Struthio camelus: one gene and its partners. The main gene of each other region encodes a partner of the protein of the gene in region 4 in a complex. Links are inferred from orthologs where the notes say so. Each region holds a gene or a part of one and is shown on either strand. Other genes may lie near its edges. The genes, in order: LSM5, PPIH, PRPF6 and LSM2.

Evidence for each region.
Region 1: LSM2 (region 4) and LSM5 share a complex: the UniProt entries of both Homo sapiens proteins name them as parts of the precatalytic spliceosome. The link is inferred for Struthio camelus from reciprocal best matches to the Homo sapiens genes LSM2 and LSM5.
Region 2: LSM2 (region 4) and PPIH share a complex: the UniProt entries of both Homo sapiens proteins name them as parts of the U4/U6-U5 tri-snRNP complex. The link is inferred for Struthio camelus from reciprocal best matches to the Homo sapiens genes LSM2 and PPIH.
Region 3: LSM2 (region 4) and PRPF6 share a complex: the UniProt entries of both Homo sapiens proteins name them as parts of the U4/U6-U5 tri-snRNP complex. The link is inferred for Struthio camelus from reciprocal best matches to the Homo sapiens genes LSM2 and PRPF6.

The regions. Positions count from the first base shown.
Region 1 is NC_090943.1:55,214,025-55,221,650, reverse strand, and holds the start of LSM5 (U6 snRNA-associated Sm-like protein LSm5), read left to right. Parts: upstream 1-4,397; 5' UTR 4,398-4,602; coding exon 4,603-4,798; intron 4,799-5,898; coding exon 5,899-5,994; intron 5,995-6,223; coding exon 6,224-6,251; intron 6,252-6,926; coding exon 6,927-6,999; intron 7,000-7,626. Other genes in the region: late secretory pathway protein AVL9 homolog, read right to left, coding at 1,285-1,380. UniProt on the Homo sapiens protein: Plays a role in pre-mRNA splicing as component of the U4/U6-U5 tri-snRNP complex that is involved in spliceosome assembly, and as component of the precatalytic spliceosome (spliceosome B complex).
Region 2 is NC_090962.1:12,645,680-12,653,660, reverse strand, and holds the start of PPIH (peptidyl-prolyl cis-trans isomerase H), read left to right. Parts: upstream 1-4,878; 5' UTR 4,879-5,097; coding exon 5,098-5,163; intron 5,164-5,573; coding exon 5,574-5,638; intron 5,639-6,053; coding exon 6,054-6,077; intron 6,078-6,390; coding exon 6,391-6,435; intron 6,436-6,956; coding exon 6,957-6,999; intron 7,000-7,981. UniProt on the Homo sapiens protein: PPIase that catalyzes the cis-trans isomerization of proline imidic peptide bonds in oligopeptides and may therefore assist protein folding. Participates in pre-mRNA splicing.
Region 3 is NC_090959.1:17,594,277-17,602,507, reverse strand, and holds the start of PRPF6 (pre-mRNA-processing factor 6), read left to right. Parts: upstream 1-4,849; 5' UTR 4,850-4,973; coding exon 4,974-5,044; intron 5,045-6,060; coding exon 6,061-6,229; intron 6,230-6,940; coding exon 6,941-7,059; intron 7,060-7,741; coding exon 7,742-7,820; intron 7,821-8,231. UniProt on the Homo sapiens protein: Involved in pre-mRNA splicing as component of the U4/U6-U5 tri-snRNP complex, one of the building blocks of the spliceosome.
Region 4 is NW_027182645.1:4,729-12,353, forward strand, and holds LSM2 (U6 snRNA-associated Sm-like protein LSm2), read left to right. Parts: upstream 1-4,683; 5' UTR 4,684-4,753; coding exon 4,754-4,756; intron 4,757-4,916; coding exon 4,917-4,984; intron 4,985-5,896; coding exon 5,897-5,927; intron 5,928-6,111; coding exon 6,112-6,171; intron 6,172-6,567; coding exon 6,568-6,693; 3' UTR 6,694-6,935; downstream 6,936-7,625. UniProt on the Homo sapiens protein: Plays a role in pre-mRNA splicing as component of the U4/U6-U5 tri-snRNP complex that is involved in spliceosome assembly, and as component of the precatalytic spliceosome (spliceosome B complex).

The DNA of each region.
Region 1 (7,626 bases), on a different chromosome or scaffold from region 4:
TTTTCCCTTTAGGAACGGCAAGTCCAAGTGTTCAAAATTTTCTTACAACATAACCATATTTAAAAACAAAACAAATGCACCAACAACACAGCAAACTCATACAAACAGTTATTCATCATTTGATCATTTAAAACTTATGTGTATTTCTGAACACAGAACTCACTGTCTTTCCTAGCAGAGGTCAGTATTTATTCAACCTCAGTTCTTCTAGAGACTGCCCAATCACAAAATGTGGAACAACTCTAGAAGCTTAAATACTAGTTTTATTTTAATACTGCAACATTAAGCAAAACATTGTTTGAATAGCCATTATTTTATTGGCTCAAATACAAGTCCTACTGACATAAAACAAGCTTAAAAAAAATCTCTCGTTATAACAAAGCTCTTAAAATGGAAAATTATAGAAAAAAAGAGGGGGGGGGAAGAAAAGAGAGGCTAAAACACACTAATCCTTTTGGACAGGGAGTCAATAGCACTCCAGGAGTCCGGGCGCAGGGGCAGAGAGCTGGCTCTCTGCTTTCTTGTGGGCCACCCGATTCTTACCTCAGGGATTCACCCCGTGCAGGAGAGGCAGAGCACCGTGAAGGCACGGAGGCCCCATGCTCTCCTGACACCAAGGCTCCCACGGGGCGCCCCTGAGGCCTGCCCAGCTCCCCAGCACAGGAAGGGGCCCGCCAAGCGCAGGCAGGGCAGGAGGCGAGCACAGCTCGCCAGGGAGCAGGGCGCCGGCCCCAGCTGCCTGCCCTGCCCAGCAGCATGTGCTGTCCGGCCTGTCAGCAAGCGCCCGCAGCGCTCCGGGTCGCTGCTCCTCCATCGCTAGCAGATTCACCTCAAAAAAAAAAAAAAAAATCGCAAAAATATTTTTTGTTTTGACCTTCTTGGAGATCCCCCTCTGCCTCTAGGCCTGCAGTGATCACCAGGGCTTATGTCAAACGCCGGCGGGGGGAGGGGGGCTGGACACGACACCCGTCGCCAGGGACCCGCAGTGCCGAGCCTGGCGCAGCCTCGCCCGCCCGCATCGCACTCACCCTCGGGCGGGAGCGCTTCGGGCGTGTCGCGCGCGCGCCTGACCGCACGTTAACCGCCCTCTGCCGCGCGAGGCGAACTGAGTCACGGCTTCGGCGGGCCCCCCCGCACCTCCGGGCCCCGTACGCCGTTAGTACCGTTGGGCCCCAACGAGCTCCCAGCCTCGCCGACCCTACGGCCTAGGAAACGACCCCCCCCCACGCCGGGGGGGGCAGGGGGAGGGTGTGGGGAGACGCGGGAGAAGGCGGCGCCCCTCACCTGGCAGCCCTTCTTGTGGTGGAAGCCCACCACCACGATGTGCAGCACCGGCCCCCGCTGAGGGCCGGCCGGCGGGGAGGCGCCTGGCTTCTCCATGCCGAAGGCCGCTGCCCACCGCCCCGCCGCCGCCGCCGCCGCCGCCGAGCCCGGGCGCTCGCTCCGCCTCCCGCCGCCCAGGAGCCCGGCGGAGCCGCCCCAGCCACCCGCTTCCTTCCGCAGCGCCGGCCCGGCGGAGGGCGGAGCCTCCCGTCTCGCCCCGCCCGGCCTTCTTCTGCCCGGTGCTCGCCCAGCTCCGCCCGCCGCCGCCGCTTGCCCCGCGCCGGGAGCGCCGCTGCCCGCTCGGCCCCGGGGCTGGGTACACCCGAAAACGGTGGCGAGTTTCTCTCTCTCTCTCTCTCAGTAAATCTTAATTATTGACTACTTAACTGATGGCAGCACAAAACTCTGACCCGATTTTAATATCCACGTTAAGTGAGGTGGCTTGCGGAAGACTGAAAATAAAACCGAAAGATAAACTTATTTCTGAAGTTTGGTTGTTTTTTTTTTTTGGCATGGATCTTCCATTTTCCAAGTGTTGCTGTTCAAACAAATTAGGGCTCCGTGCTGTTTGCAGAACTTGAGAGAAGTCAGCCGTGGGGTTGCTTAACTGGGGGCACATCTATTAATGGGTTCAAGTTGGAAAAATCAAGTTAATGCACTTCCATTAGAGCTGTTACACTACTAAACATATATTAGGATATCCTGAGGAAGAGAGTTCAAAGCCCTGTCCCAGAGCACAAACAAATTCAGTATAAGAGAGTTAAAATCTTTTATCTTGCTGTGCTCAGACCATGCTCCCTCATTAACCTTTCTCAGGATTCAGTCCTGTTTAAGTCAACAGCATTTGCTAGTGACTGTACCCTTAATAATTAGGACTCTTTGTGGAAATTAGAAGAAGAGATTCATTTGGGAAAAAAAAATAGAAGAAAAATGCTCAAAGAAAATCTCATCGCTACCACAATACCCAGGAGCTCCAATTCTAACACCAAAGTCTATAATTACATATTGTTCTTCAACTTCAACAGAAGCTCCATTACATAAAATATATACTTTGGGGAACAAAGGATAAACTGCAGGGAACAATCCTTCACTGGCAAGAGAACAATTCCTTATCAGGTCTTTTCTGTACCTTACTTTTATGATGCTCAATATAATTCCAAAAAAGAACAATGTGTGAAATATGAGCCATTATCCCCTCCAGTAACAGGATATACCAAAAAAGAGATGCCTGAGAGTATTTTTATTTCATGTTCAGTTAATTGAAGAAAGGGCAGTGTGGCAGTACTCTCAGTGCTATGGATTTTGCATTATAAGGGCATCACAATGAGACTGCTGGATAACTGTGGATTATTACTTCTCTGAATAGGTTATTAGATTTTTTTTCATTGTTTGAAATTTTCTTTCCCACTAAGGCAATAAATAAAAATGTTAAATGTTAGACTGAATGACATCAGCCTGTTTTAGAAAATTGAACTGACTGACATATTTTATGTCTTTTTCACAGCTAACACTGTGTGTGTGTAGTTATGGAATAGAAAGGGAGATAGAGCAGCTATGAAAGTCTCAGTGGGAACTTTCCTAATGGAATTTACTTTCTCAATGCATATCTAACAAATATCAGTAATAAACTCGAACAAACTCAGTTGGCCATAGAGGGAGTTCTTTTCTCTCAGCAGTAATATTTGAGCTACCGCAAGCTATTATAACATCAGCACAGCAAACAGAATTTGTCACTCATTTGGAATTTAGTAACAATTATCAAAGTTATCAGTGCTGATTATGTGTAGTGACACTTCTTGAGATGGATAACTTTTACAAGAGAAGTATGTTTTATGCATCTAGAAGTAGCCTCAGAGGTGAGCAGTGCTTGTAGTAGCTGGTAGTTTCACTGAATTTTTTAAGTATAGCCCATTTTCCTAAAGGAAGAAATTGTGAATTTGTAGAGAAGAGCATGTGACTAAAAATAATTATTCTGAGATTTCTGCTAATAAGAAAGCATAAACGAAATCCTGGCATGGATTTGAGGTTTGTAACTGATTTCTTGCTGGTTACAATCTCAGTTCCTGTTTGGAGTGTATTGCTTCTGAGGCTCTTACACCAAATACTAGCAAAACCAAACTGAATTTTATGTAGTAATGACTATGACTCTGCTTGGGATTATGATCTCCCACTTGGAACCTTCTCCTGTAAAAAAAAAAAAAGAAAGGTAAAAGACAAAGAAAGTAATGATGGGCTAGAGAATTCATGAATGTCTCACAGTATTAGGAAACTGGAGGATATTTTACAAAGATAAAAGTCTTAGATATGAACATTAAAATACAGAAAATAGCCATTAGTTAAATAAACAAACAAAAAAACCCATGCAGAACAAAGTGATTATTTTGATCAAAATTTGGAAAAAGGCAGTAAGGCAAGAGGAAAAAACCTCTGAAAGTGAAAGTTCATCTGTCTTCACTATCATGAATTCACGTGCACAAGAATTTCATTAAAGGCATGTTTTGGATCAGTATGTATGCAAAATGATCCTACTGAATTGCGGTCATTTGATTTAGAGCACCGGGTATAGCTCACATTCAACGAAACATATCAAATTGCCAAAAAACCTGCCTAGTTTCAACGCAGCTACAGTTTTGCTACTTGTGCAACATCGCTTGGCTTTTGTTTTACCTTTTTCTTTTGACTGCCCTCAGTGACTACGTAGATCTCCCACCAGGGGAAAAATACGTAGTTGAAATTACTTTGGCGTGATAATATTTAGCCAAAGGAGGATCGGTGCTGCAATGTGGGTAACCTTCAGAAAACCACGATTCTGTAAAATATTTAATTTTTCAAAAGAAAAAAAGCTAGAGCTTGACAACAGTCTCCAGTTCGAGGCACTAAAAAAAAAAAAAGCCGGCACAACCGTTAGGGACAGTAAATTTCAAGCGATTCGAGAAATCAGGAGGATTTTTAAAGCCCTTAGAAACAACGAAGCTTTGGGCAGAGAGCCAGGCTCACCCTGAAACACAGCGGGGCCCGCTCCCTGCTGTAGCATTACGGCTTACGTTACTAAGCGGGTGCAGACGGCGCAGCGGCTTTTCCACCTCGAAAAATAATTTAAATCCCTTTAATTCCTCAGCCGGATCACAGCACGGAGCCCCACCGCAGCCGAGGGAGCCGGAGCACGGCATCCACTACAGACAGCGACCGAGCCCCTGCCTGCTGATTAGAGAGGAAGATGTACCAGCTCCGCCTAAGAGGAAAAACACTCCGGGCTCCTCCTGCGTGGCCAGGGCGGCCATGTCCCCCCGCTGCCCGGCCTGGAGCTCCCGGGAAGAACGAGCGCTCGGACATCGGCTAGGCGGGGCTGCCGCTCCGACCCAAGAGTGTGCCTCGCCGTCAGCGGACCGTTCACTTCCGCAGGAGCGACTGGTTAGGCCTGGGTCCAATATGGCGGCTAACGCGACTACCAACCCGTCTCAGCTCCTGCCGCTCGGTAACCAGCGCTGCCGCTGCGGTGTCTCCGCTCTCTCCCGGTTGTTGCGGTCGGCGGCGCGGGGTGCGGGGGGGGCTTTCCTCAAGGAAAGAGCAGGGAAGAGAGGGCGGTGCCCAGGCTCCCCTAGCGGCGCGAGGGGCACCGCGCGTGGCGGGAGGTTTGAATGGGGCCCGGAGCGGTTGGGAGGCGAGGGGCGGGGCGCGCGTCACGCGCGGCGGCGGGCGCTGACGTCACGGGCGGCGCGCGGCGGGTGCGCGAGAGCGGCCGTTGGGGTGGGGCGGGGGGGGGGTGTCGTGTCATGTCTCTGCGGGAGTGTGGGGGCCTGGCTGTGCCGGCGTGGGAGGGAAGCGAGGTCCCGGCCCTCGGCGTGTGAGGGGTCCGGGGTGGGGGAGGAAGTCGCGCCCGTCACGGCTTCAGCCTAGGGGGCTGCATGGTTCTAGCTCAAACGTCAAGCGTTCTTGGCGGAGAAAAAAAAACAAAGTAACCCCCCCAAATTGAGGTAAAGCCTAACAAAAGCTTTCCACTGCTGTGAGAGGAGGTGGTCAGGGAAGAAAGGTGAGGAGAACAGTCGTAACTTGTCCATAAAATTTCTGCCTTACATCTTTTTGTTAAATTGTGGGATCCCAGTGCGTTATATCGCTACTCGGGCCGCTCAGGAGCAATGTCTGGATGGGTAAACTGTTCGACTTCTGGCAAATATTGATTAGGAGAGGTTTTAAATTTCTGTCTCTGGAGGGAAAAATAACGAGTCTTTTAAGAGTAGACAGCATACAAAGAAATTATTCATATCTTCGATAGGGATGCAGCACAAAGGTCTGCTGAAGATAGATCTAACTTTGGTGCTTAGCTCTCAGGTACTAATTAAACATGCAGTTAACAGCAGTAGTAATATGGCTTCACCAAAGTAAGGTAATAGTACTGTATAAACATGCTTAGAGAGTTTTTTTGTGTAGCATTAGTAGTAAACTGTGCAAGGAAAAGATTTATTTTTCTCTGTTTTGCTGGTGCCCTTGACAATTACTTTTTTTGCCATCATAATGTTGGGCTTTTTGTTTAGAAGTGTGTTTTTAATGCTTTTAATTTTTTTTCCTAATTTGCAGAACTTGTGGACAAATGTATAGGTTCACGCATTCATATTGTGATGAAGAGCGATAAAGAAATTGTTGGAACGCTTCTAGGATTTGATGACTTTGTCAGTATCCTTTAATGGAAAGGTTTAAGCCTAAACTTCATGTTTCTGCTTAATTTGTCTATTACTTTTAAGAGTTTGGAATTCCACTGAGTAGAAATTTATTATATTGTTTCATATGTTACTCTGATTTTATTTTATAGATGAAATCACACTTCCACGTAAAAGGAAAATAATTTAGAGTCTCTGCACCTTAAGGTCTCTCTACCTTATTTTCCTTGAAACTAGACTTTCAGACATGGTGTTAGAAGATGTTACAGAATTGTAAGTATTATTTCTATCTTTTGTGGCTTTTTAAACTTTGATTTTCCAAGTTACAAAAACATGGTATCAGCACAGTAATGTGATATTTTTGGAATACTTGTTGATTGAATAATTTAGACCTTAGACTTAAACTAGATGATGACCTATTGAGGACAGCCATGTCATAGAGCACCCGTTTCATGGTTTATCTCAGTAAATATTTTTAATGAAGCTCCTAATTTACAGCCTCAATTTTGCATGGGTTCTGGGTTGAACTCTCCAGTAGTTTGTTTGCTTTTAAGGCCTTGTAACACATAGGCAAAGATTTGGAAACCTGGCACACTTAAGGATAAGTAGTCATTACTTTGTTTTGCTATCTTGCTATTTGCAGCCTTTTTTGAATATTAGTGGTAGTCAAGATTTTGGTAGGATTTAGAGGGTAAATCCACATCTTTATGTGCTAAGGAGAAAAGTACAATGGATCTCTTTGGTCTTCACGTAGATTTCTTGACCCAGATGGCCAATGTATCAAGATTATGTTGTGAGATAGCTAATTTATTTGTTACTTCTGATAAATTTCATTCTAATGTAGAGCTTTGTGTCAGTACAATCATCAAAACTATAATCATCTTCCATAGTGGTATGTTCTTATTTTACTTAAGTCTTTTTTTTTTTCTTTTCCTGATGCCGTTTCAGTGAAATTACACCTGAGGGCAGAAGAATCACAAAACTAGACCAGATTTTGCTAAACGGAAATAACATAACAATGGTAAGTCGTCATTGCAAAGAGATTGCATGCACTTATGTCTGCAGTTGTTGAATTCAATTATTGCTTGATTTGCTACTCCAAGCTGAGTGGTCCGCTACATAGGCTACTTCGAGTAGCTTTAGGGGCATATGTGTATATGACTGAGGCTAGAGAAGCGATCTTATTGTCATACTTGTCATGTGTTACAGCTTAACATCTGTGAAAATGGGATGGTCATAATTTCATTTTGGTGAATCCTTTTCTGGTCTTCAGGTGTGTTAGGGAATCACTTCTGGCTTTGGAACCTTCTTTGGAGGCTGGTTAATACAGCGGCTTTTAACTTACGAGTGCTTGGCTGTACAACTATGTAGGGCAGGATGCATCTAAATCACATCCATTATCTTATGTATGGATGCGTTTGCAGCAGTTTGGATACTTACACGCAGGTCAAGTCATTCGACTGTTAAAATAGCATGTGATACCCAGGGAGCAATGCCTTTATGTGCACTGAGAAAAGATGTGGAGATCTGTTGAGCTATACTGAATTAGAAGCACTATGATTTTAGTTTATTTTATGTTGATATATGCAGATCAGGACTGAAGCAGTAATTACGGTTATGCATCCCTCAGCTGAATTCCTAGGCACTT
Region 2 (7,981 bases), on a different chromosome or scaffold from region 4:
GGAGGCTCACCAAACCCTGCTCTGCACTTCCTCCCCCAGACCAGAAGACTTAAGTGCTTGGAGAACACGCTCAGAACCTCCCAGCAGCGATACAGGCAACATCACCAAGGGAAACGCCTCCCTCGCACCCGTCCAAGAGCGCAGCGTTTCCCAAAGCCACTTCCCCCAAAGTCCCACCTCACTCTGCGCACTCCAGCCCGCGCCTTTGCCCTCCCCTCTCCCGTCACCTCCGCATCACGGCTCGGCTTTGGTGGCCTCCCGCAGGGAAGGAGATGCCTGCCAGCGAGACACCCTGGAAGCCCAAAAGGAAGAAGCTCTTCACACCTGCATCCCCGCAACAGCTCCCAGAGGAAGGACACCTCCTCACCCCGGGGTCTACTGCGGGCTGAGCCTGGACTCCTACAACCTCCACGTCCAGCTTTTTACGCGCTCCTCGGTCCTTTCAGACACCTGGTCTTGTCCAACCCTCCCTTTCGAGAGAGACAGTGCTCCCTGGGGGCTTCGTGTGCCACCCCTTTCTGGGGGCCACCTTCTGCAAAGGGAGCCAGCTGGGACACTTTGTTCACCGGGGAGAGGCTCTTTGTCACGGGAGGCATGAAGTGCTATGAGGGGAACACACGGAGGGGCCCTTGGCTCCCTGCATTGCTCTGGGCAGCAAGAGAGTACCTTTTCTGCCAGCCTCCGCAGCCACTTCTTTCTCGGAGGTGGCATCCGTATGCACAAACCTGGAAACAAGCAGGAGACAGCGGTTTCGAGAAGGGGCAGCACAGGCTCTTGCAGCCTCCACTAAGCAGCTGGTCACGGGGAGAGTGGAGAGCTGCTGTCAAGCCTCTGGTCTGCCAAAGCAGAAGACAGCATGTGGTCAGCACATATCTTAGGAAGGTGAGTACACACAACCCCAGTGCTGGGAAGGGCACAAGAGGCCCCAACCACAGCTCTTGTTTCCACCTGCTTGGGATGTACCTTCTCAGAGATGCTTTTCCGGAAGAAGACACATGCAGGAAAGAGGAAGATCTTGGGCACTGGGCCTTGTCTTTTTCAGCCTCAGCCAAAAGAAAGGGCAGGAGCACAAGAAGCTCTGCGCCAAGTGGGGCCTAACTTCCTCTCCCACACAGGGCGGGAACAGAAAGCAGGCCCTCCTCCAGCTGACTTCACCCCAACAGACAGGGCTTCCCAACAAAGCATGGCTGACCACGCACTTCACTGAGAAGCCCTCGTCTGACAAACTTCTTCCCCGCTAGCTTCAGGAGGAGACAAGCCCTGGCAACGAGGCCCTCGGCAGCTCTCGGTGGCTCTACCAAGTGGGAGATGAGAAGCTGCATGCTCGGTCCGTCAAGGGCTGCAGAAGGAAACCTACTCTCTGTGGGAACAAGAAGACACCCCCCAGCAGGCATCTGGAAAACAGCCGTCTCCCTGTGGGTGATGATCAAAGGCCTCAGCCTTGGCTTCTGCAACAGAGACCGAGACCCATGAGGCCACCCCCAGGAAATGAGCCCCTTGCTCACAAGGCAAACAGTTGCCCACCAGCCACATGAGAAGCTGCCTCTCCACAACTCTCTCACCAAGTGCTCTTGCACCAACATCAGCCCCTCTCCCAACTTGTGCCTGCAGCCCAGCAAAGCCCTGAGAATGGGCAGCAACACTGCCAGACTTTGGGCAAGGGCAAGAATCAGGAGACTCCCTCAGGAGACTCGGTCTTGCCTAAAGGAGAAGTCAACGGAAGCTAGCACGACGCAAGGCTTTGTGGTAGCTGGCCTCTCTGGTGGCTGCCTTTGCTCTCTTTGCTTGCACGGACCATTGCTGAAGACAGAACAGGGAGTCCAAGCAGTGCGGCCAACCCCCAAGTCTCTGCTGACACTCAAACGGCTGCATCTGTAGCTGCAGGAAGAGAGACACGCAGCCCTCCTTCCTCCCTGGCACGCTCAGGGAAACCTGGGACAGCCAAAGCCCCGAGAGCTGGAACAACAGCAAGCGGGGGGCCCGGTCCGAGACCCGTCACTGCAGCACAGGCTGCAAAGGGCTGGTCAGTGCAGCGACACCAGCAGAGCAGGACGGCAGGGCCTTGGTCCGTTGGTGCCTCTGCGTCCTGCCCAGAGACAGCATCTCTACAGCGTCGCTTTCTGGGAGGAGGAGGGCAGGCACTGGGAGAAGCACCAAGACAAACCTGCCCCGGGCTTATACTCTTTCCTAGCACAAAGGGACATGGGCTACCGGGCTGGATCTTTGCTCTGACCAAAGACAGCTTCTCAGAAGGGCTTCTGTGTCGCCAAGTCTCTCCTGAAGGCCAGACAAGAAGTCTGCCGAGAGCTCGCGTTCCTGTAAATCAAGGCGAGCGCAGGGGACGAGGCAGGCCAAGGCTTTGACCAGGAAGCAGGAGCAGGAGAGGCAGTGCTGAAAAGAGGCCCGACTTACGCTGAGGAAAGATTTTGCCAAGTTCCTGGTCCTACCTACTTTGTAAATAAAGTCTTCAAAGAATCTCATCAGCACTCCAGGATGCTGAAGTTCTTGAAGACAAAGTCCAAATCCTTGCTCGTGGACAAGGCCCACACAAAGACTTTCAGGGTCGCCTCTATACGTCTCAGCACCTTCCCCTTCGGAACGTGCGGCCGCAGTGCAAGCTGGGCCTAGTTCAACTCCACAGCTTGGGAATAGGCTGGAAACAAAGCACCGAGCAACAAAGTGACTTGAGCAGCCCTTCAGCAGACCCCAAACACCCTGCAGCACAACAGACAGCCCCTCGGGAGGCTTCTCGCCCCCCCCTTCCACCCCACCTACTCTCCATGGAGCAGCCAACGTCTTGCCTGCGGGGGCCACAGCCCCGTCCCCACACCCCCTGCTCTCAGCAGCAAAGAGGAGATGGCATCAGTGGAAGGGAAGAACCACTCCAAACACAGCCCCCACCCCGTGCTGCTCCACACTCACCATCAAGGGCATCCTGGGGCTCTCCATGGCCTTGGGGCAAACCCGCTCCCCCGTCTCTGCTTCGTGCCTGACTGCGGCTCGCTTAGGCCCCTTGTCCCCACAAGGCAGCTGGCAGGGCCAGCAACAACGCTGGCACTCGCCTTCCACAGTGCGCCAGGCTTTCTGCCCTGCCAGGAGGAGCTCGAGAAGGCCCTGAAGAAGCGAGCTCACAGTCTGCTTCTCCAGCTGGGCTTTGCTTTTTCTCTCCATTGAGGGAGACGTGGCTCTGGGGCAAAACTGACACAAAACTGCAGGCTCCTGCTGGGGCATTTCTTCTGCTTTCAGCGGTGGCAAGGAATAAGGCTGCTCCATGGCAGGATGGAAGCGGGGGCTCAGCACTCATGAGGGTTGGAAGGAGGGTGAGGAGACAAGACCCACCTGGTTCAGCAGCAGCGCTTGGCAGTAGCATTCAGAGATGCTGTCCCAAATTTTAACAACATCTGGGGAGCAAGAGGAAGACATGCCATGCTTGAAGTCAGACAAGCTCACCACCATCCCACCTGCTCCAAACCAAGCTCCAAGATGCCAGCATCATCCCCACCACCACCAGCATCCTCGCAAGGACCCGCGGCGGAGGGGCCTGCAGAGCTGAGTTTTTACCTGACATCCGACTAGAAGCCCTCTGCTGACCCCACGAGAAGTCTGGAGCTGAAACGAAGGCACGAGAAGGGCTTTGGACGAGGGGCTCCTCCCATCCGAAAGGGGAAGGGGGCTCCGAGGTCGCAGCCTCTTCCCTGCTCTGGAGGCACAAGCGGATCCCAGAAGAAACCAGAGGCGGTGGCTAGCTTTTTCCAAGAAGCCAAGCTCAGCAGAAGGAACTACAAGGTCTTGCGAAGGAAACGAGCCACCCCTAACGAGCGCGTTTCCAGCAGGCTCTCTGGAGGCCAGGGCACCTCAGCCTTCTTCACGCTTCCTTTCCTGGCAGATCCTCCTCGCCGCACCTCATCCTCTCCTTGGCCAAAGCTGCCAACGGCTTCGCAGGCCAGCGAGGGGACGGCGCCTCGGGGCACCTCCGGGCCTTTCCTTCCTGCCCCAACCCCGCGAGGCCTGCAGACAGCGGCAGGGGGAACTCGGAGGAGAGCCGCTCCGGGGCGCCAAGCCCTCCAGGAGCAGTCAATACACGCGTGTGGCTGACACGGAAGCGGCCGTTAGGCACGCGGCCGTTATGGAAGCGGCCGTTACGGGAGCGACCATTACACGCGTGATCGTTACGCGCGCGGCCATTATGGAAGTGGCTGTTACGGGAGCAACGGTTACGGAAGTGGCCATTACGGGAGGGACCATTACACGCCTGATCGTTACGCGCGTGGCCATTACGGAAGCCGTTATGGGAGCGACCGTTACGGGAGAGACCATTACACATGTGATCGTTACATGCACAGCCATTATGGAAGCGGCCGTTACGGGAGCGGCTGTTACGGAACTGGCCGTTATCGGAGCGACCGTTACACGCGTGATCGTTACGCGCGCGGCCATTATGGAAGTGGCCGTTAACGGGAGCGGCCGTTAGGGGAGCGGCTGTTACGTCCGCGGCCGTTATGCACGTGATCGTTACGTGCGTGGCCATTATGGAAGCGGCCGTTAGGGGAGCGGCTGTTACGTGCGTGGTCATTATGGAAGCAGCCGTTACGGGAGCAACGGTGATGGAAGCAGCCGTTACGGGAGCGACCGTTACACGCGTGATCGTTACACGGGCAGCCATTATGGAAGCGGCCATTACGGGAGCGGCCGTTAGGGGAGCGACTATTATGCATGTGATCGTTACGCGCGCGGCCATTATAGAAGCGGCCGTTAGGGGAGGGACCGTTAGGGAGCGACCATTACACGCGTGATCGTTACGCCCGTGGCCATTATAGAAGCGGCCGTTAGGGGCGCGGCTGTTACGTCCGTGGCCGTTATACACGTGATCCTTATGCGCGCGGCCATTATGGAAGCGGCCGTTAGGGGAGCGGCCGTTACGCGCGCGGCCGTGACAGGAGCGGCCGTTACGCGCGCGGCCGTGACAGGAGCGGCCGTTAGGGGAGCAGCCGTTACGGGAGCGACCGTTACGCGCGCGGCCGTGACGGGAGCGGCCGTTACGCGCGCACCTCTCCGCGCCGCCGCGGCCGCTTCCGCTTCCGGGGGCGGGCGGGCGCCATGGCGGTGTTGGCGTCCAACCCCAACAACCCCGTGGTCTTCTTCGACGTCTCCATCGGCGGGCAGGTGGGCGAGGCGGCTACGTGGGGGAGGGGGGCTGCGGGGGGGGGGAAGGGATTGCGTGGGGGTGGGCGTTACATGCGGGGAGGGGGCGCCATGGGGAGGGGTTTCAGGGGGTGGTGGGGGGTGCGCAGCGGGGAGGGGGGCTGCATTGGGGAGGGGGCTGCAGCGGGAGGAGGTCTCGGGGGGGCAGAGCTGCAGTGGGAGGGGGCTGGGGCGCATTGGGGGGGATTGTGGGGGGGCTGCAGGGGGAGACGGCTGCAGCGGCGCAGTGAGGGGTGAAGCAGGAGTAGGGGGGCGCAGGAGGTGCAACTGGAGGGAGCTGCTCGGGTGCCGGGGGAGGGACGCGGGGATACCGGTGGGTGCAGCGGGGGTCCGGCAGGCTGCGCTGACCACGTTTCCCCCCCCCCCCGCAGGAGGTCGGCCGCATGAAAATCGAGCTGTTCGCTGATGTCGTGCCCAAAACGGCGGAGAATTTCAGGTAAGGGGCAGCCGGCGCCGCTTCGTGCTGCGGGAGCGTTTCCGGTGCAAGAGCAACCACCTCCTTGCCAGAGCCGCTGCATCCCCTTCGCGCCTCTCTCCGTGGTCATCTCAGTCCCACAGTAGACATTCATATACCCTGCCCTCTGTGCAAAACGGTGCCGCACGCCACGCTCGCCGTCTCTTACAACCCCGGTGTTGAACAGCTGACCCTCCCCAACTGCAGAAATGCCCCTTTTGAAATGGAAACGATGAGCAGTTCCTGACAGTTGCCCTTTTCCTTGGTGGTATTCCTGATGCTTTAAGGACAATCCTGCAGTTTTTCTTCTGTAAAACATTCAGAGCGCAGCGGTTTGGCATTCCTAGGAATACAAATGTGACTCATGCTCTGCTGTTTTGTACTTTTTGTTTTCCAGGCAGTTTTGTACAGGTGAATTCAGGTATGTGCTTAGATTCTCCTTCTAAATAGTATTAAAAAATATTCAGATGAGCAGAGGGCTGGGGGACTAGAAAGAGAGGTCACCTGGAAGTTTTTCTTAGTGCATCAACACAGAACGAAAAAGTTAGAGAAAACACGACTGGCTCAGTCACACGGATGGCAGACTTACCCAGCCTTCCCTTTTGGGTGCGGCCAGAGTCGGGTACGGGTTTGGGTACGTTGCTGTAACTGGCACTGCCAGCAAATCCCATGGGAGAGTTTTGTGTTGGGATATACAGTAAACTGCAATGATTTTCCTTTTTATTTCCTCCTAGGAAAGATGGTGTCCCTATAGGTTATAAGGGAAGCACTTTCCACAGGTAACTCTTCTGCTTTTGTTTAGATGCTTAAACAGCAGTGTGAGCTGGGCCTGGTTTTGAGAGCTGCCTCAAAGGTGTTATTAGTCTGGGAGGTGTTTTTTAAGCATGGAGGACTGGTCACTGCTGGTATCATCTTTCCAGAGCCTCTGGCATGTCTGTCCTTTGGGGGGATTGGGGGATTTGGGGTTGCCCTCAGATATACCAGAGGGAAACCATGGTCTCCTTGGAGCTTTTGAGTTGACACACAGGGGTCACTTTGCAGGGGGTCCCCCCATTCCTGGTCTGCCAGGTCAGAGATTATGTTCTTGCATATATCACCTAATCTATCCCATGTTTAACAGCAGTGGATCCCAAATTACTTTATATCAGCCAGTAGTTAATATTCAGTGTAGATTTTGCATTGTAGTACTTACAGACCCTTATGATTTTTTTGGTTGTGAGAACTAACTCCCTTTTCTGACATAGTAAGCTTCTGGAGGCATTTTTTGACTGAGAAGTAAGTATCGTTTTACTTTTTGTAGGGTAATAAAGGATTTCATGATCCAAGGAGGTGACTTTGTAAACGTATGTACTTCTGTATTTCTTTTGTACTTTTGCTGCGTGGTATAATATGCGACTCTTTCCCAAGGTCCATGCTTACTTGCAATATCTGTTGGCTCTCTTATGAGGCAGCCAGTAATAACTGGAGGTTTCCTTACAATGTTCCTACGATCTTACTGCAGCAGTACAAGTACAATGTACTTGGAAAGAAATCCGGAGACTTGGGCAAGCACGTTTTCTTCTCTCCCAAAATATTTCCCCTTTAAAACAGCATGATAGCATCATTAGAGACTCTTCAAACTTGCAGGGAATTTTTACCCTGTTGCCCTTCTCCTTTCTTCTGTCCCCCAGGCAAGAAACCCTACAAATTTCTTTTGGCTCTGTGGAGAGAGACTCTGAGCATAAATCCTAGCGTCTAGTCCAGGATTTATTTAAATCAAAATTAATTTCTATTATTAGTGAATTGTCTCAAAGTAGAAAAGACTTTGTACCTACAGTATTGTGCCTTTCGGATAAGCCAACTGTTGGGGAGATGCTGGATGATCACTGGGTCTCTTCGCTACCCTAGGACCTGGGGAAATTATTTCATTTCCCAAACCACTTGCAATTGGAGGGGGATGATGGAAAAAGCTTTTTAACACAAAACTCAATTTTGTGAAAGCTGAGAGAACTGACTGCAAAGTGTGTGGCTTAGTCACATTGGGTTTGCAGCTAGTCCTAATCATCATGCTGCTCAAATGTCCCCGTGGCTTTATTACTTTCACTAAAGCTCAACAAGCTTTACAGGTTGCACTGGTATTTGTAACTTATTAATTGCGCTTCTTATAAAGCTACTTGGGGACCAAGAACGGCCACACTGGGCCCTGAAATAGGGTACACGATCCTGCCTTGTAGCTGACAGTTTGAATAAGCCACATAGCAGTAAAAGAAGCAGAGACTAGGCAAGTAGAGCAAAAGGTGCAGCGCTGCAAGTGGTATGTTACTGGCATCTTATTTTCCTTGTTTA
Region 3 (8,231 bases), on a different chromosome or scaffold from region 4:
TTGCAATCTTTTTGGCCAAAATCGTTTTGGCTGAAAAGGTTCGGCCAGCTCCATCTGATCTCTATTAGCTAATCGAAGCCCAAGCGGTTGGATTCTGCCCTTCTCACTGGGGATATTCCCTTGCTCCGGGCAGCGACATCACCCGAGCGCTGCAATTATTAAGCCAATACTCGGAACGGGCACAAGTGAAAACCGGCACCTGAGGAAAGCGAGCCGGCATCCAGCTGCCGACTAGCGTGAGAAAATTAATGACCGTGTTATGGCCACATTACGTATCCGTGGCCTGAAGCTCTGACTTTCCTTCAGGCCTGATTTGGGAGCTTACCAGCTCTGTTTAGCTGCTCATGGGATTTGATTGATTATTTGCATTGCTCAAGGGTAAGGTACGGCCTGGCTTGGATCGATTGGCTGCGCTCTGAGCGTAACCGCGTGGTGCTGTGTGATCTGAGAACCGGCTGCTATTTCATTGCAAATTTAAGCTCTTCGCTTCGAGCTTGCTCTGCGTGTGCACGGCCCCTGCAGATGCACGCACGCGCCCGCATGCATCGCCACTGTTAGGGGGACGCTCTTAGCTTGCAAAGGGCTTCGCTGATGCCTCCCGCAGCCTCCGCCCCGGCGCTGCAGGGGAATTCAGATAGGACATCGCCGAACCACCCGGTGCAGTGTGCAACCCTGGTGCCGTCAGCCTGCCTCCCGGGCCGGCTCTTGCCGCGGCACGTCCTCGGCCCGGGGCGCCACGGCCGGACCCGCTGCGCGGTGCCCTCGTCCGGGCTGCCCGCGCCGCCGGGCGCCTCGGGACGTGCCGGCCCGGCCTCAGCATCTCCAGACTTTAGAGAGCTCCGGATTAAAAGGCAATTTAAAAAAGAAGCGGCATGTTGGTATTGTCCTCAGCAGGCTGCGGGCTCGCGGCCGTGAGCTTTCCCGGAGCGTCCTCGCGCCCGGGCAGTTCTCCTTGCGCACCGCGAGCTGACGCAAGCTCGGCTCTTGCGGCCGCCCCGGCTGCCAACTGCACGGCGAGGACCCTTCGGCATCCCCCGCTAATCGTCCCCGAGACGTGAGATGGCTTCGGCGGAGGCGTCCGGAGGCGCTGGCTCTCGCCGCGTGCCGGCGCGGGCTTGGCGCTCGGCTGCCGCTGGCACCGGTGAGCTGCGCAAAGGCTCCCGCTGCCGCGGGGCACCAGGCGCCCGCGTGGCGCATGGCAGCGAGCAGATGCTGCGACCGCGGCCTCCGGGCCCCTCTGGAGCCGTTGTGTGGGACTAATTAAAATTTCAGGAAGTATATTTACCTAATGCAGAGCTGATTTTGCTAAGTAGGACATCCTGTCTTCAGAGGATTTCACGGCACAGGGCGATAATCAAGTGCGAATAGGCTCCAAAAGTGTTAATGTAGTAGCTGAGCAGACGCAGATTAAAAACAAGTCCCTGTTTAGTCTTTTCTCTCACTTTCGCACCTGAAATCCAAGTAATCATCCGATTTGGGAGTGCAAAGCAGCAACACCTCAATGCTGCAAGCAGCACGCAAACCGCCGGCGCAGGTCTGCCCAGGGCGGCCGTGGCCGGACTCGCACCGGATGGCAGGGAAGGAGCCGGCGCTGCTGCACGCGCGAGCTCCCCGCCGCCCCGCCGTCCTCGGGGCGATGCCCTGCACACGTCAGCTCCCTGCCATCCTCGGGGCGATGCCCTGCATCCCGCCGTCCTCGGGGCGATGCCCTGCATCCTGAAATCCTCGGGGCGATGCCCTCCACACACCAGCTCCCCGCCGTCCTTGGGGCGATGCCCCCTGCATGCACCAGCTCCCCGCCGTCCTCGGGGTGACGCCCTGCATCCCACCGTCCTTGGGGCGATGCCCTGCGCACGCCAGCTGCATGATCCATTCTTGCAATAATCTCCTGTGTTATCTATTCTCGCTGCATTACGTCATATTTAAAAACATTAATTTCCAGTGCATGGACAGCCCCGCGTTTCTGCCTGGCGCAGGGCCGCAGCGCGGCCAGCACTCCTACACCGGCTTCGCCGGCTCGCTCTCCCGTTGTCCTGGCAGAGGACGGTGACTCCGGCACCTCTTCCCTACAGTTCGTGCTGCAGGTAGCAGCCGGGGAGCGCGCTCTCCGAGAGCGAAGCGCAGCGCCGGCGCGGCTCCTCGCTGCTGCCGTTGCCTCTGCTCCTTAGCGGTTTTATTGCCCGTGCACAGAGACGCAGGCGCGAGAGGCAAGAGCCGCTATGCTCGCGCGCGCGCCGCGGAGCAGCTTGGTTTTCTTGTAGAGTTACGGCCGAACTGCAAAGGCCGAGCGCGCAGCACGGGCGGTGCATTATATTTGCACATTTAGCAGGTGCAGTTGCCCCTTCGCCCCTCAGATTTTGCCACTGAAAACTAGGACCAGTCGCTGGTTTTGCTCCCGCGGCCGCTCCACGCCAGGGATGCTCCGCGCCAGGCTGCGGCTCTGCGCGACGCTCACCCGCGCGTCAACGCTGGGTACCCGCAGAGTTGACTAAAAAGCATTTACGAGGCATTTTACCGAGCCTATAAATTATGCCGGGCGTTCTCGCGGGTGGGAGCGCGACTGCGCCGCGACGGCTGGCGGCGGCCGGCGCGCGGCATCCTTCCCGCGCAGCACGGGAAAGGATGTGGCTGTGGTGTGAACAGAGCAAACGTACAGCACCGAGACCAGCCCCGTGCTCCAGGGCAGCGGCGCATCCCCCAGCGCCACCCTGACCGTTTGCCAAAAGCGATGCTCATTATTATTATTATTATTATTATTATTATTTTCCGCCAGCCAACCCCCAAAATAGCTCGCTGTGAAGTGGCTGGGGGTTGGGTGCGCGGTTAGCGTGCAGAATGGGGCTGTTCGTCTTCTCCGCAGCTGCTTGGCGCTTCCAAGAGGCTGGTGGGAGCTGCCGCGGGGCGCGGGGGCGGCGCGGGCCGGGGCGGCCGGCGGGGGCCAGCGCCCCACCGGGGGGGCCCCTAGACCCCGGAGCGGGCGCTAATGCAGCCGTGAACCTGCCGTGCCCGGAGCACTTTGCAAACGGGCGCTAATTAATCCGGCACGGGCAAAACCCTGCGAGACCCGGCCGGCCCCCGAGGGCTCCCGCGGCCCTCGGAGCCGGTTTCGTCCCTCGGGTGGGATAAGCGGCCGCGGCGGTGGCTGGCGCTTGGTGACTTCCCGGCGTTCATTGGGAGCTGACGTCCTTTTTTTTTCAAGGGATTGACTCGATAAGCCAAACTCCGCGTTGTCGGAGGGAAAAGGGCCGTGCCGGAGCGCGGGAAGCCACGCTGACACCCCGCTCCCGACACGGCGCCTGCTTTGGGGGCGTTCGTGGGAGCTAGGCGTTAGACCAGGGGCCAGGCTGGCCCTGGGCCGCTGGGACGTGTCCTGAGTGCGACAGTGCTCTGCAGCCCCATCTCCTCGGTCGCTTTGGGGCGGCGGGTTGAATCGCACCCCTAAAGCCAACAGGCTCCCTTGGCGCCAGCTGCTCTCCGGCCCCCCCCAGTCCCCCGGAGGAACGTCTCATCTCAGTCGCCCCGAGCCCGAATCCGCCTCCGACTCTGGCTGGAGCAGGGCCCGAGCTCAGGGAGAGCCTGATTAAACCAGGGGACGCATAGCTTTAAATTAAGCCTGCGCCATCTGTTCTGCCTGTTTAATTGCAAATGCAAAAGAGGAAGAAGCTAGTTTGTAATTAATCAGCAAAAAAGATCCAAGTTATTTAATGCGGGCGCATGCCTTTTGTTCGGCGTGCTGTGAATCTACGAGGATTTTTGCATTTATTAAGGCAAACGAGGAGGAAGCGTGTGGGCGCGGGGCGGCGCAGCGGGTGCCACGGGGTGCGTCCGGGATAGAGCGGGCCGAGCGCTGTGCTGCATTTGCGGGTCCGGCTGCACCCCTGTGGCTATAGGTGTCCATATATGTGCCCACACTAGAGACATGCATGGGAGTATGTTCATTTAGGTGTGGACACATGCGTGTGTTTGTCGGTGGATGTGTGCAAAGTGTATGTAATGCAGAAGGGATGTGTGGCATTCCGTGTGCGTGCGGGGACGCAACTCCTCACAGGCAAGGACGCGTGTGCAGGAAAGCTGGGTTGGAACCTATGCAGGCGGCGCGTGAGGCTTTAACACGTATTTGTGCTTGTTAGCAGGCATACCTGTGGTGGAAAGGTGTGGTCTACACACGGAGCAAGAGCCACGTGTGTGCACGCAGGTTTGTGCGCACGTGCATACAGATGTATAGGTGCAGGTGTGTGCAGGTGCACAGGTGTGCATGCACATGCACGCAGGTGTGCAGCTTTACGCACGTGCAGGTGTGCATGCGCGTGTGTGATGTGTACACGTGTACCTGCATGGTGTGCAGGCACACGTGTGTGCAGGGGTGGGTGGGTGCATGCGTGCGTGCCATGCGTGCAGAGCGGTGTGCGTGCAGGCATGCACGTTATGCACGGAGGTGGGTGCGCGGGTGCATGCACAGCTGTGTGCGAGGGTGTGCCCATGTGCAGGTGCACGGGCACCCGTGCACGCATGCAGAGGTTTGTGCACCGTGTGCAGGTGCGCCGTGCACGTCCGCGCGTGCACGGGTGCAGCTGTGCGTGCCCGCTCCTGCGTGCGCGCGCGCGCCTGCCCGGGGCGCGCGCACCGGGGTGTTACCCACGTGCGGGCATGCAACGCCTGCGCGCCCGGGGGTGGGGAGGTGGGGGGTGGGGGCCGGCAGGGGTGCGCATGCGCGCCGGGCTCTGGCGGGACCCCCGGGGCGCCAGGGGGCGCGGGGGGCGCGAGGGACGCTCCCTCCCCCTCCTCCTCCCCCCCCTCCCTCCCCGGCCGCGGAGCGGAAGTGCCGGGTCGCGCTTCCGGCCGCGCGGGCCGCCTGGGTAGCCCCGCCCCGCGGCGCGGCCTGTGATGGCGGCCGCTTCCGCCGCCGCTTCCGCCGCCGCCTCCCGAGCGGCCCCGCCTCCGCCGCTCGCCTCGCCGCCGCCATCGCCGCCGCCATGAACAAGAAAAAGAAGCCGTTTCTGGGCATGCCCGCGCCCCTGGGCTATGTACCGGGGCTGGGCCGCGGGTGAGCCCCCTCCCCCCCACCCCCGGCCCGCCTTCCCCCTCCGCGGCCTTCGTCGCCCGGCCCGGCCCGGCCTGGTCCCCCTGGCCCCCCCGCGGGCCCGCAGCCCCTTCCCCCAACTCCAGGCTGAGCCCGGTTTTACGCCCCGCCGCCCATCGCCGTCCCCTCGGGGCAGGCCGTGCCCAGCGGCCCCTGCTCCGCTTTTTAAAGTTTTATTCATTCTGGGCGGTTTGCGTCTGCCTTTTCGATAGGCTGTTCTTACGTAAACGCCGACTTCGGGGATGAGTTCGAGGGTTTTTTGAGCGTTGTCCGTTAGGAGGGGTGTTGCCGCTGACCCGGGGTTTGTGCGCTCGTGTCGTAATTGCGTGTGCGCGTGGGGGGCTTCGGTAGAAGTCATTAAAATCAGGGCACGCTTGTGCTGGCAGTTATAGGGTAAAACAACAGGCAGGTCCTGGTGATGCATGGGCAGCAGGGGTTTGCCCTGTGGTGGTGGGGAGCTATGTTGTTCTTGGGTGACAGCGGATTTGCATCCTGGTTTTCTCTGTCATGATTTGTTCGTGTCTTTGCTTTGGGTTGAGGCATCCTTGTGGACAGGGGCATGTAGTCCTGTAGGCTGGGCCCTGGAAAGCATTGACTAGCTGAATATGGGGCTTCTGAAGAGCCCCCGTGTCTGCCTCTGCCCTGATTGTATGCACCTTACAACCTGCAGGATGTAGATAATCTTTTTTGCTGCATGCCATTGATGGATAGACTTTAAAAGCGAATGCATCTCTGGGTACAAGGTGATGGATGGTGAGGGGGTGAGCAGGACAACTTGATTCTAGTATCATTATAAATAAAGTTATACCTATAAAAGGACAATTGTTCCCAAAGGGTTTCATGAACAGTAGGGATGGGTAATGCCATCCCTGTGAATGAAGTGTTTTTTTAAATTTTCTAGTTTTAAGTAATTTTAACAGACTCTGTGTAGTGATTGCACTGCTGCGTTGTAAATAGCTGCTATTGGTCTGTCAACATAGAGCCACAGGTTTCACCACCCGGTCTGATATCGGCCCAGCACGTGATGCCAATGACCCGGTGGATGATCGTCATGCTCCGCCAGGGAAAAGAACGGTTGGGGATCAAATGAAGAAGAATCAGACGGCTGATGATGATGACGAAGATCTGAATGACACCAATTATGATGAGGTGATGTGTTAATCATCCTTCAGGTGTTTTTTCCCTAGTGGAAGAGGAGCCCATTAGCTTCCTGCTCTCTTGTCGTAAAACCCTCAGTCAGCTAACAGCACTTCCTCTTTTTTTGTTTTCTTTCTTTCTTTTTTTTTTTATTGGGACCCTGTTATACATAATAGCATAGTGCTTTCAGATCTCTGTTTTGGTGTTCATCCATATGTGTGATTTAATTATATATACAGAGCCCTGAGAGTCTTAGGAAGAAATCCATAGGTAAAATATTAGTTTAAGTGCTTCATGGGACGCATCTTTTATTCGGCTGCAAAAATGAAATCTAAGCTTTTGACATAGTTCTGTTTTTACGCGGTCTGTGTAGTCTCTTGTGTTTAAATCACGCTTTGGTTAGTTAACTATTGTGTTACTCTTTTTGTTTGATTTCAATAGTAACACTTTTTGGGTAATGGAACAAAACGGCTTTTCTCTACTGGGGAGCTTGTTTATTGCTTAATAGAAAGTTTTGCTGTTGAAATGGTGTGGGAGAATCGGCTCTTGCGGTAGAAGAAAGTTGTTTGTATTTAGGGATGTTTTAGTGTGATGCAGTGTTACTAAAAATAGTTTGCTCATGCGTTTTCTTTATCCTGCATGACTGTTGGCTGTACTAGGTACATAAAGAGTTCTAAACTGCAGGTTCAGCTTTTTTTGAACTGCTATTTATTTTATTCTTAGTTCAATGGGTATGCTGGGAGCCTGTTCTCAAGTGGTCCCTATGAAAAAGACGATGAGGAAGCAGATGCTATTTATGCAGCTTTGGATAAAAGGATGGATGAACGGAGAAAAGAAAGAAGGTAGGCTTAGTTACAATGCTGGCAAGGAGTGTTTTTGAGTTGGTCTGCGTTTTCTATTTAGTCTGTATTTCAGAGTTTTCTTCTGTTTTTCAACTCAAATTTTGTCCTTGTCTACTGAATATATTTTCAGAAGCAGATGCTGGTTTTGTTTGTGTTAATGCTGTACGTTAGATACTGTTGCTTTAAGAGCTATGGATACTTGGCACAATTTAACCTGAGCGTATCTCTGTGCTTGTTGCCCATTTTCTTCAGTGGTAGATTTGGTTGAATTGCTTCATTGTAATTCCTTAGGAAGATTTAGGGAGATGCTGAGCTAATGTTTCTGACATATTACCTACTGTACGATACACTGGCAATTGTTACAGAAGTCATCTAATGCAGATGTCTTGTAAACCCGTGAGTGTCACTTAATTTTTTTTAAGTTTATTGCCTGGTCTACAGGTAAGTGGAGGTTAAAGAGTGAAGTTGATTTGGTTGCAAATGTCTAATTTGACACTGTAACATTGTCTTAATTGATGAGCTATTTAATTTGCTGTTATAGACGATGATAGTCTAAACTTGGAATAATAATGTTTTTTGTGCCTTACCTCTGATCAAACACATTTTTCTGTAATAACAATGCTTTAGATAAAGACTTGCTCAGTGTTACTTTGAGTATAACTTCAGTACCCCTTTTCCTAAGGGAACAACGAGAGAAAGAGGAGATAGAAAAATACCGTATGGAACGACCCAAAATTCAGCAGCAGTTCTCAGACTTGAAAGTAAGGAGAGAAAGCTTTCTTAAATATGACTTTTGTCTTTATGACATATGGGAGATGGATGCATGTTTTGCGTTGACTTGCGCAGATTCTGTCTGTTAGCATGCAAATAGTTTGTTGCTCTCCAGATTAAAATAATTTTATATTGGAAAAAACTGTTCTTGATTTGAAACTATCTCAAGTATGGCAGTATAATCTTTAGCCAACAGTTGTAGAGAGTATAGTTGATAGTGTTAAGTTAAAGTAAAATGGTGATGGAATCTGCAGTAAATAATAAAGCAATGTTATCTTTACGTATAGCTTTATGCAAAATTGTGATCGGAGTTGGTAGAAGTAGGTGTTTTATCAGCTACTTTGTAGGGGCGTGTGCAGATACAGTGATTCTGTCTGAATGCTTTTCTTGTGGATACACAA
Region 4 (7,625 bases):
CACACGCCTGCGCTGCGCACACCTGCACACGGCTGCACACACCTGCGCTGCGCACACCTGCACACGCCTGCACACACCTGCGCTGCGCACACCTGCACACGGCTGCACACGGCTGCACTGCGCACACCTGCACACGCCTGCACACGCCTGCACTGCGCACACCTGCACACGCCTGCACACACCTGCGCTGCGCACACCTGCACACACCTGCACACGCCTGCACTGCGCACACCTGCACACGGCTGCACACGGCTGCACTGCGCACACCTGCACACGCCTGCACACGCCTGCACTGCGCACACCTGCACACGGCTGCACACGGCTGCACTGCGCACACCTGCACACGCCTGCACACGCCTGCACTGCGCACACCTGCACACGCCTGCACACACCTGCGCTGCGCACACCTGCACACGCCTGCACACGCCTGCACTGCGCACACCTGCACACGGCTGCACACGGCTGCACTGCGCACACCTGCACACGGCTGCACACACCTGCGCTGCGCACACCTGCACACGGCTGCACACGGCTGCACTGCGCACATCTGCACACGCCTGCACACGGCTGCACACAGCTGCACACGCCTGCACACGCCTGCACACGCCTGCACACGCACGCAGACCGCAGCCCCGGGCCCCCTCCCTTGCCTGTGTCCCGTGTCCCCGTGTCCCGTGTCGACTCCCCGTCTGGGTCGATCCCGTGTCCCCATCCCATGTCCCGTGTCCCCGTGTCCCGTGTTGTCCCCCCGTGTCCCCTGTCTGGGTCCATCCCTGTCCCCATCCCCATCCTATCCCCATCTCCCTCCCATCCCGTGTCCCGTGTCCCCATGTCCGGGGTCCCCCCATCTGTCCCCCCGCCCACGTCCCCGTCCCATCCTTGTCCGTCCCCCGTCCACATCCCCATCCCATCCTGTCCCCGTCCCCGTCCCCCTCCATCCCCATCCCATCCTGTCCCCGTCCCACATCCCCATCCCATCCTGTCCCCCTCCGTCCCTGTCTGTCCCATCCCATCCTGTCCCCGTCCCCGTCCCCCTCCATCCCCATCCCATCCCGCGGGTCCCCATCCCCGTCCCCCTCCGTCCCCGTCCCCGTCCCCATCCCCATCCCTGTCCCCGTCCCCCTCCATCCCCGTCCCCGTCCCCCTCTGTCCCCATCCCCGTCCCCATCCCGTGGGTCCCCGTCCCCGTCCCATCCCGTCCCGCGGGTCCCCGTCCCCCTCCGTCCCCATCCCCGTCCCCGTCCCCCTCCATCCCTGTCCCCATCCCCGTCCCCCTCCGTCCCCGTCCCGCGGGTCCCCGTCCCCGTCCCCGTCCCCCTCCGTCCCGCTCACCGCAGGGTCCCGCCGGTGCCGCGGCGCCCCGGAGCCGCCCTTAAATCGCGGTGGCGGCGCGGGGCCGGGCCGTGTCGTCACGGGGCCGTGGGGCCGGTTCGCCCGGTCCGGCCCGGCCGTGGGCGTGCGGGTGCGACACCGACACGGGACACGGGGACACGGGACACGGGACATGGGGACACGGGACACGAGACACGGGGACACGGGGACACGGGGACACGGGACACGGGGACACGGGACATGGGACACGAGACATGGGGACATGGGGACACGGGACATGGGACACAGGACATGGGGACACGGGGACACGGGATACGGGACACGGGACATGGGACACGAGACATGGGGACATGGGGACACGGGACATGGGACACAGGACATGGGGACACGGGGACACGGGGACACGGGACACGGGGACACGGGACATGGGACACGGGACATGGGGACACGGGACACGAGACACGGGGACACGGGGACACGGGGACACGGGACACGGGGACACGGGACACGGGACATGGGGACACGGGACACGAGACACGGGGACACGGGGACACGGGGACACGGGACACGGGGACACGGGACACGGGACACGGGACACGGGGACACGGGACACGGGGACACGGGACATGGGGACACGGGACACGGAGACACGGGACACGGGACACGGGGACACGGGACATGGGGACACGGGACACGGGGACACGGGACACGGAGACACGGGACACGGGGACACGGGACACGGGGACACGGGACACGGGGACACGGGACATGGGGACATGGGGACACGGGGACATGGGACACGAGACACGGGACATGGGACACGGGGACATGGGGACACGGGACACGAGACATGGGGACATGGGGACACGGGACATGGGACACGGGACATGGGACACGGGACATGGGGACACGGGGACACGGGGACACGGGACACGGGGACACGGGACACGGGACACGGGGACACGGGACACGAGACACGGGGACACGGGGACACGGGGACACGGGACACGGGGACACGGGACACGGGACATGGGGACACGGGACACGAGACACGGGGACACGGGGACACGGGGACACGGGACACGGGGACACGGGACACGGGACACGAGACACGGGACACGGGACACGGGGACACGGGACACGGGGACACGGGACATGGGGACACGGGACACGGAGACACGGGACACGGGGACACGGGACATGGGGACATGGGGACACGGGGACATGGGACACGAGACACGGGACATGGGACACGGGGACATGGGGACACGGGACACGAGACATGGGGACATGGGGACACGGGACATGGGACACGGGACATGGGACACGGGACATGGGACACGAGACATGGGGACATGGGGACACGGGACATGGGGACACGGGACACGGGACACGAGACACGGGACATGGGACACGGGGACACGGGGACACGGGACACGAGACATGGGGACATGGGGACACGGGACATGGGACACGGGACATGGGACACGGGACATGGGACACGAGACATGGGGACATGGGGACACGGGACATGGGGACACGGGACACGGGACACGAGACACGGGACATGGGACACGGGGACACGGGGACACGGGACACGAGACATGGGGACATGGGGACACGGGACATGGGACACGGGACATGGGACACGGGACACGGGACATGGGACACGGGACATGGGACACGGGACATGGGGACACGGGGACACGGGGACACGGCACACGGGGACACGAGACACGGGGACACGGGACACGGGGACACAGCACACGGCACATGGGACATGGCACACGGGGACATGGGACATGGGACACGGGACACGGGATACGGGGACACGGGGGTGTGGGGATGGGGGACACGGGACACACGGGACATGGGGGACAGGGGGGTGTGGGGACGGGGGGACATGAACATGGGGACGGGGGGACGGGGACGGGGGACATGGGAGGGGGCAGAGGGACGTGGGGCCCCATCTGGGGTGGGACTCGGTCCCAGAGCGCTGATCCATCCCCGTCCCCCGTGTCCCCACACCGTGTCCCCCGGGTCCTCGAGACCCCCGTGTCCCCCGTGTCCCTGTGACCCCCGTGTCCCTGTGACCCCCGTGTCCCCGTGACCCCCGTGTCCCCACCCCACGTCCCCCAGGTCCCCGTGACCCCCGTGTCCCTGTGACCCCCGTGTCCCCGTGACCCCCGTGTCCCCCATGTCCCTGTGACCCCCGTGTCCCCGTGACCCCCGTGTCCCCCATGTCCCCGTGACCCCCGTGTCCCCGTGACCCCCGTGTCCCCACCCCACGTCCCCCAGGTCCCCGTGTCCCCCGAGTCCCCGTGACCCCTGTGTCCCCCAAGTCCCCGTGTCCCCCATGTCCCTGTGACCCCCATGTCCCCGTGACCCCCGTGTCCCCACCCCACGTCCCCCGTGTCCCTGTGTCCCCCGTGTCCCCGTGACCCCCGTGTCCCCACCCCACGTCCCCCAGGTCCCCGTGACCCCCATGTCCCTGTGACCCCCATGTCCCTGTGACCCCCGTGTCCCCACCCCACGTCCCCCAGGTCCCCGTGACCCCCGTGTCCCTGTGACCCCCGTGTCCCCGTGACCCCCGTGTCCCCACCCCACGTCCCCCAGGTCCCCGTGACCCCCATGTCCCTGTGACCCCCGTGTCCCCACCCCACGTCCCCCATGTCCCTGTGACCCCCGTGTCCCTGTGACCCCCGTGTCCCTGTGACCCCCGTGTCCCCACCCCACGTCCCCCAGGTCCCCGTGACCCCCATGTCCCCGTGACCCCCATGTCCCCGTGACCCCCGTGTCCCCACCCCACGTCCCCCAGGTCCCCGTGTCCCCCGTGTCCCCGTGACCCCCGTGTCCCCACCCCACGTCCCCTGTGTCCCGCGTGTCCCCCTCCCGCGCCCGGTCGCTCGCGGCGGCCCCGCCCGGGCGGCGATGGGCGGGGGCGGGGGCGCGGCCGGACGCCGGGGCCCCTCCGACGCCTGGGCCCGCGGGCGGCGGCCTGGCCGGGTGCCGCGGGCGCCCCCGGGGGCGGGGCCAGACCAGCGATTCCGTTCGGGGGCGGGGCCAGGGCGGCGGGTCCGCCCCCGGGGGCGGGGCCAGACCAGCGATTCCGTTCGGGGGCGGGGCCAGGCCGGCGGGTCCGCCCCCGGGGCGGGGCCAGGGCGGCGATTCCGTTCGGGGGCGGGGCCAGGGCGGCGGGCTCCGCCCCTGGGGGCGGGGCCAGACCAGCGATTCCGTTCGGGGGCGGGGCCAGGCCGGCGGGTCCGCCCCCGGGGCGGGGCCAGACCAGCGATTCCGTTCGGGGGCGGGGCCAGGACGGCGGGTCCGCCCCCGGGGGCGGGGCCAGGGCGGCTGCTCCGCGCGCGGCGGAAGGGGGCGGGGCCTCGCCGGTTCCCTGGCGCGTGGGGCAGCGGCGGCCGCGATGGTCGGCGGGGCCGGGGGGCTCGTGGGGGGGCCCGGGGGGCTCGAGGGGGGGCCGGGAGCGCCGGGGGGGCCCGGGGGGGCGGGGCGGAGCGGGCCGCGGGGCCGGGGGCGGCGGCGGGCAGCAGCGGCCCCGCGCGACCCCCGTGTCCGTGTCCCCGCAGCTTTTCTACTCCTTCTTCAAGTCCCTCGTGGGCAAAGACGTCGTGGTGGAGCTCAAGAACGACCTCAGGTGAGGACCCCCCCCCACGGGGCCCAGGCGTCCGGCCTCCCACCCCCACGGGGACCCCGGCGTCCGGGACCCCCGCCACGGGGCCCAGGCGTCCGGGACCCACCCCCACGGGGGCCCAGGCGTCCGGCCTCCCACCCCCACGGGGACTCCGGCGTCCGGGACCCCCCCCACGGGGCCCAGGCGTCCGGGACCCACCCCCACGGGGGCTCCGGCGTCCGGCCTCCCACCCCCACGGGGACTCCGGCGTCCGGGACCCCCCCCACGGGGCACAGGCGTCCGGGACCCACCCCCACGGGGGTCCAGGCGTCCGGCCTCCCACCCCCACGGGGACTCCGGCGTCCGGGACCCCCCCCACGGGGCCCAGGCGTCCGGGAACCCCCCCACGGGGTCCAGACGTCCGGCCTCCCCCCCCCACGGGGACCCCGGCGTCCGGGACCCCCGCCACGGGGCCCAGGCGTCCGGCCTCCCCCCCCCACGGGGCCCAGGCGTCCGGCCTCCCCCCCCCACGGGGACCCCGGCGTCCGGGACCCCCGCCACGGGGCCCAGGCGTCCGGGACCCACCCCCACGGGGGCCCAGGCGTCCGGCCTCCCACCCCCACGGGGACTCCGGCATCCGGCCTCCCACCCCCACGGGGACTCCGGCGTCCGGGACCCCCCCCACGGGGCCCAGGCGTCTGGGAACCCCCCCACGGGGTCCAGACGTCCGGGAACCCCCCCCCACGGGGCCCAGGCGTCCGGCCTCCCACCCCTACAGGGCCCAGGCGTCCAGCCTCCCCCCCCCACGGGGACTCGGGCGTCCGGGACCCCCCCCACGGGGCCCAGGCGTCCGGGACCCCCCCCCCACGGGGCCCAGGCGTCCGGGACCCCCCCCCCACGGGGCCCAGGCGTCCGGGTAACTCTCTCTCCCCCCAGCATCTGCGGGACGCTGCACTCCGTGGACCAGGTGAGTGGGGCCAGGGGCCACGGGGGGGGAAGGGGGCTGCGGGGGTCCCGGGGGGGGGCTGGATCCCTCGGTGGGACGGGACCGGGGGGGCAGGTTGGGCCCACGGGGGTCTGTGGGGTGGAGGGGATCGTCGGGGGCAGGACCCTCGGGGTTCCCAGGCCGTGACCCCCCCGCGTCCCCGCAGTACCTGAACATCAAACTGACGGACATCAGCGTCACCGACCCCGAGAAGTACCCGCACATGGTAAGGCCCGGACGCCTGGGTCCCCCGGACGCCTGGGTCCCCCCCGGGCCCCAGACCCTCCGATGCCGGGGTCCCCCGGACGCCTGGGTCCCCCCCGGGCCGGCCGCGGTGCCCCAGGCCCTCCGATGCCGGGGTCCCCCGGACGCCTGGGTCCCCCCCGGGCCCCAGGCCCTCCGATGCCGGGGTCCCCCGGACGCCTGGGTCCCCCCCGGGCCGGCCGCGGTGCCCCAGGCCCTCCGATGCCGGGGTCTCCCGGACACCTGGGTCCCCCGGACACCTGGGCCCAACCACCCTGGACGCCTGGGTCCCCCCCGGGCCGGCCGCGGTGCCCCAGGCCCTCCGATGCCGGGGTCCCCCGGGGCCCCGCTGACGCCCGGACGCCTGGGTCCCCCGCAGCTGTCGGTGAAGAACTGCTTCATCCGGGGCTCGGTCGTGCGCTACGTGCAGCTCCCGGCCGACGAGGTCGACACGCAGCTGCTCCAGGACGCCGCCCGCAAGGAGGCCCTGCAGCAGAAGCAGTGAGCCCGGACGCCGGGGCCCCCCGGACGCCGGGGCCCCGTCACCCCCTCCCCGGCCCGGATGCCGGGGCCCCCACTCCGCTGCCCCCCGTTTCTCTACCTCACCCCGACGCCCTCCCCGAGACCCCCCTGCTCGCCCGGACGCCGGGGTTCACCGCTGCGCCCCAGCCCCGCGGGGGCCGGGGGGGTGAGCCCCGGCGTCCGGGCGGCGGCGGGGCGCAATAAACGCTGGTGACGGGCACCCGGACCTGGCTGTGTCGTGGCTGCGTCCCCGGACGCCGGGGTCCCTCGGGGGGGGGTTGGGGGGTCCCGGATGCCGGGGTCCCTGGTGGGAGGTTGGGGGGTCCCGGATGCCGGGGTCCCGGGTGGGGAGTTGGGGGGCCCTGGACTCCTGGGTGGGGGGAGGGTAACGTTCCCCGGACGCCTGGGTCCCTGGAAGGCGTTGGGGGGGGGGTCTCGGACGCCTGGGTCCCGGGTGGGGGGGGATTGGGGGTCCCCGGAGGACCCGGCTGTTCGCCCGCCGCCAGGGGTCGCCGGACGCGCTCCGTAACCCGCGGTGGCCGCTCTGCCCCGCCGAGCCGCACGGCTCTATGATCCGGGAGCCCGCCCCGCCCCCCTCCTCCCCCCCCCCCCCCGCACACACAGCGCTGACTGAGCCTGCGCAGCGGCAGCAGCCAATCCGGGAGCAGCCCGGGGCGCGGGGCGGGACGGGCGCATGCGCGGGGCGGGGGCAGGCGCTGGCGGCGCATGCGCGGTGCGCGCGGCTCCACGCGGTTCCCCACGCACCGGCAGCAGGTACCGACGGCGGCTCCGGGACCGCGCCGGCCCCGCCCCCTCCGCGCCCGCCGGCCCCGCCCCCTCCGGCCCCGCCCCCTCCGGCCCCGCCGCCGCCGCCGCCGCCGTCGCTCCGGCCCCGCCGCCGCTCCGGTTCCCGGT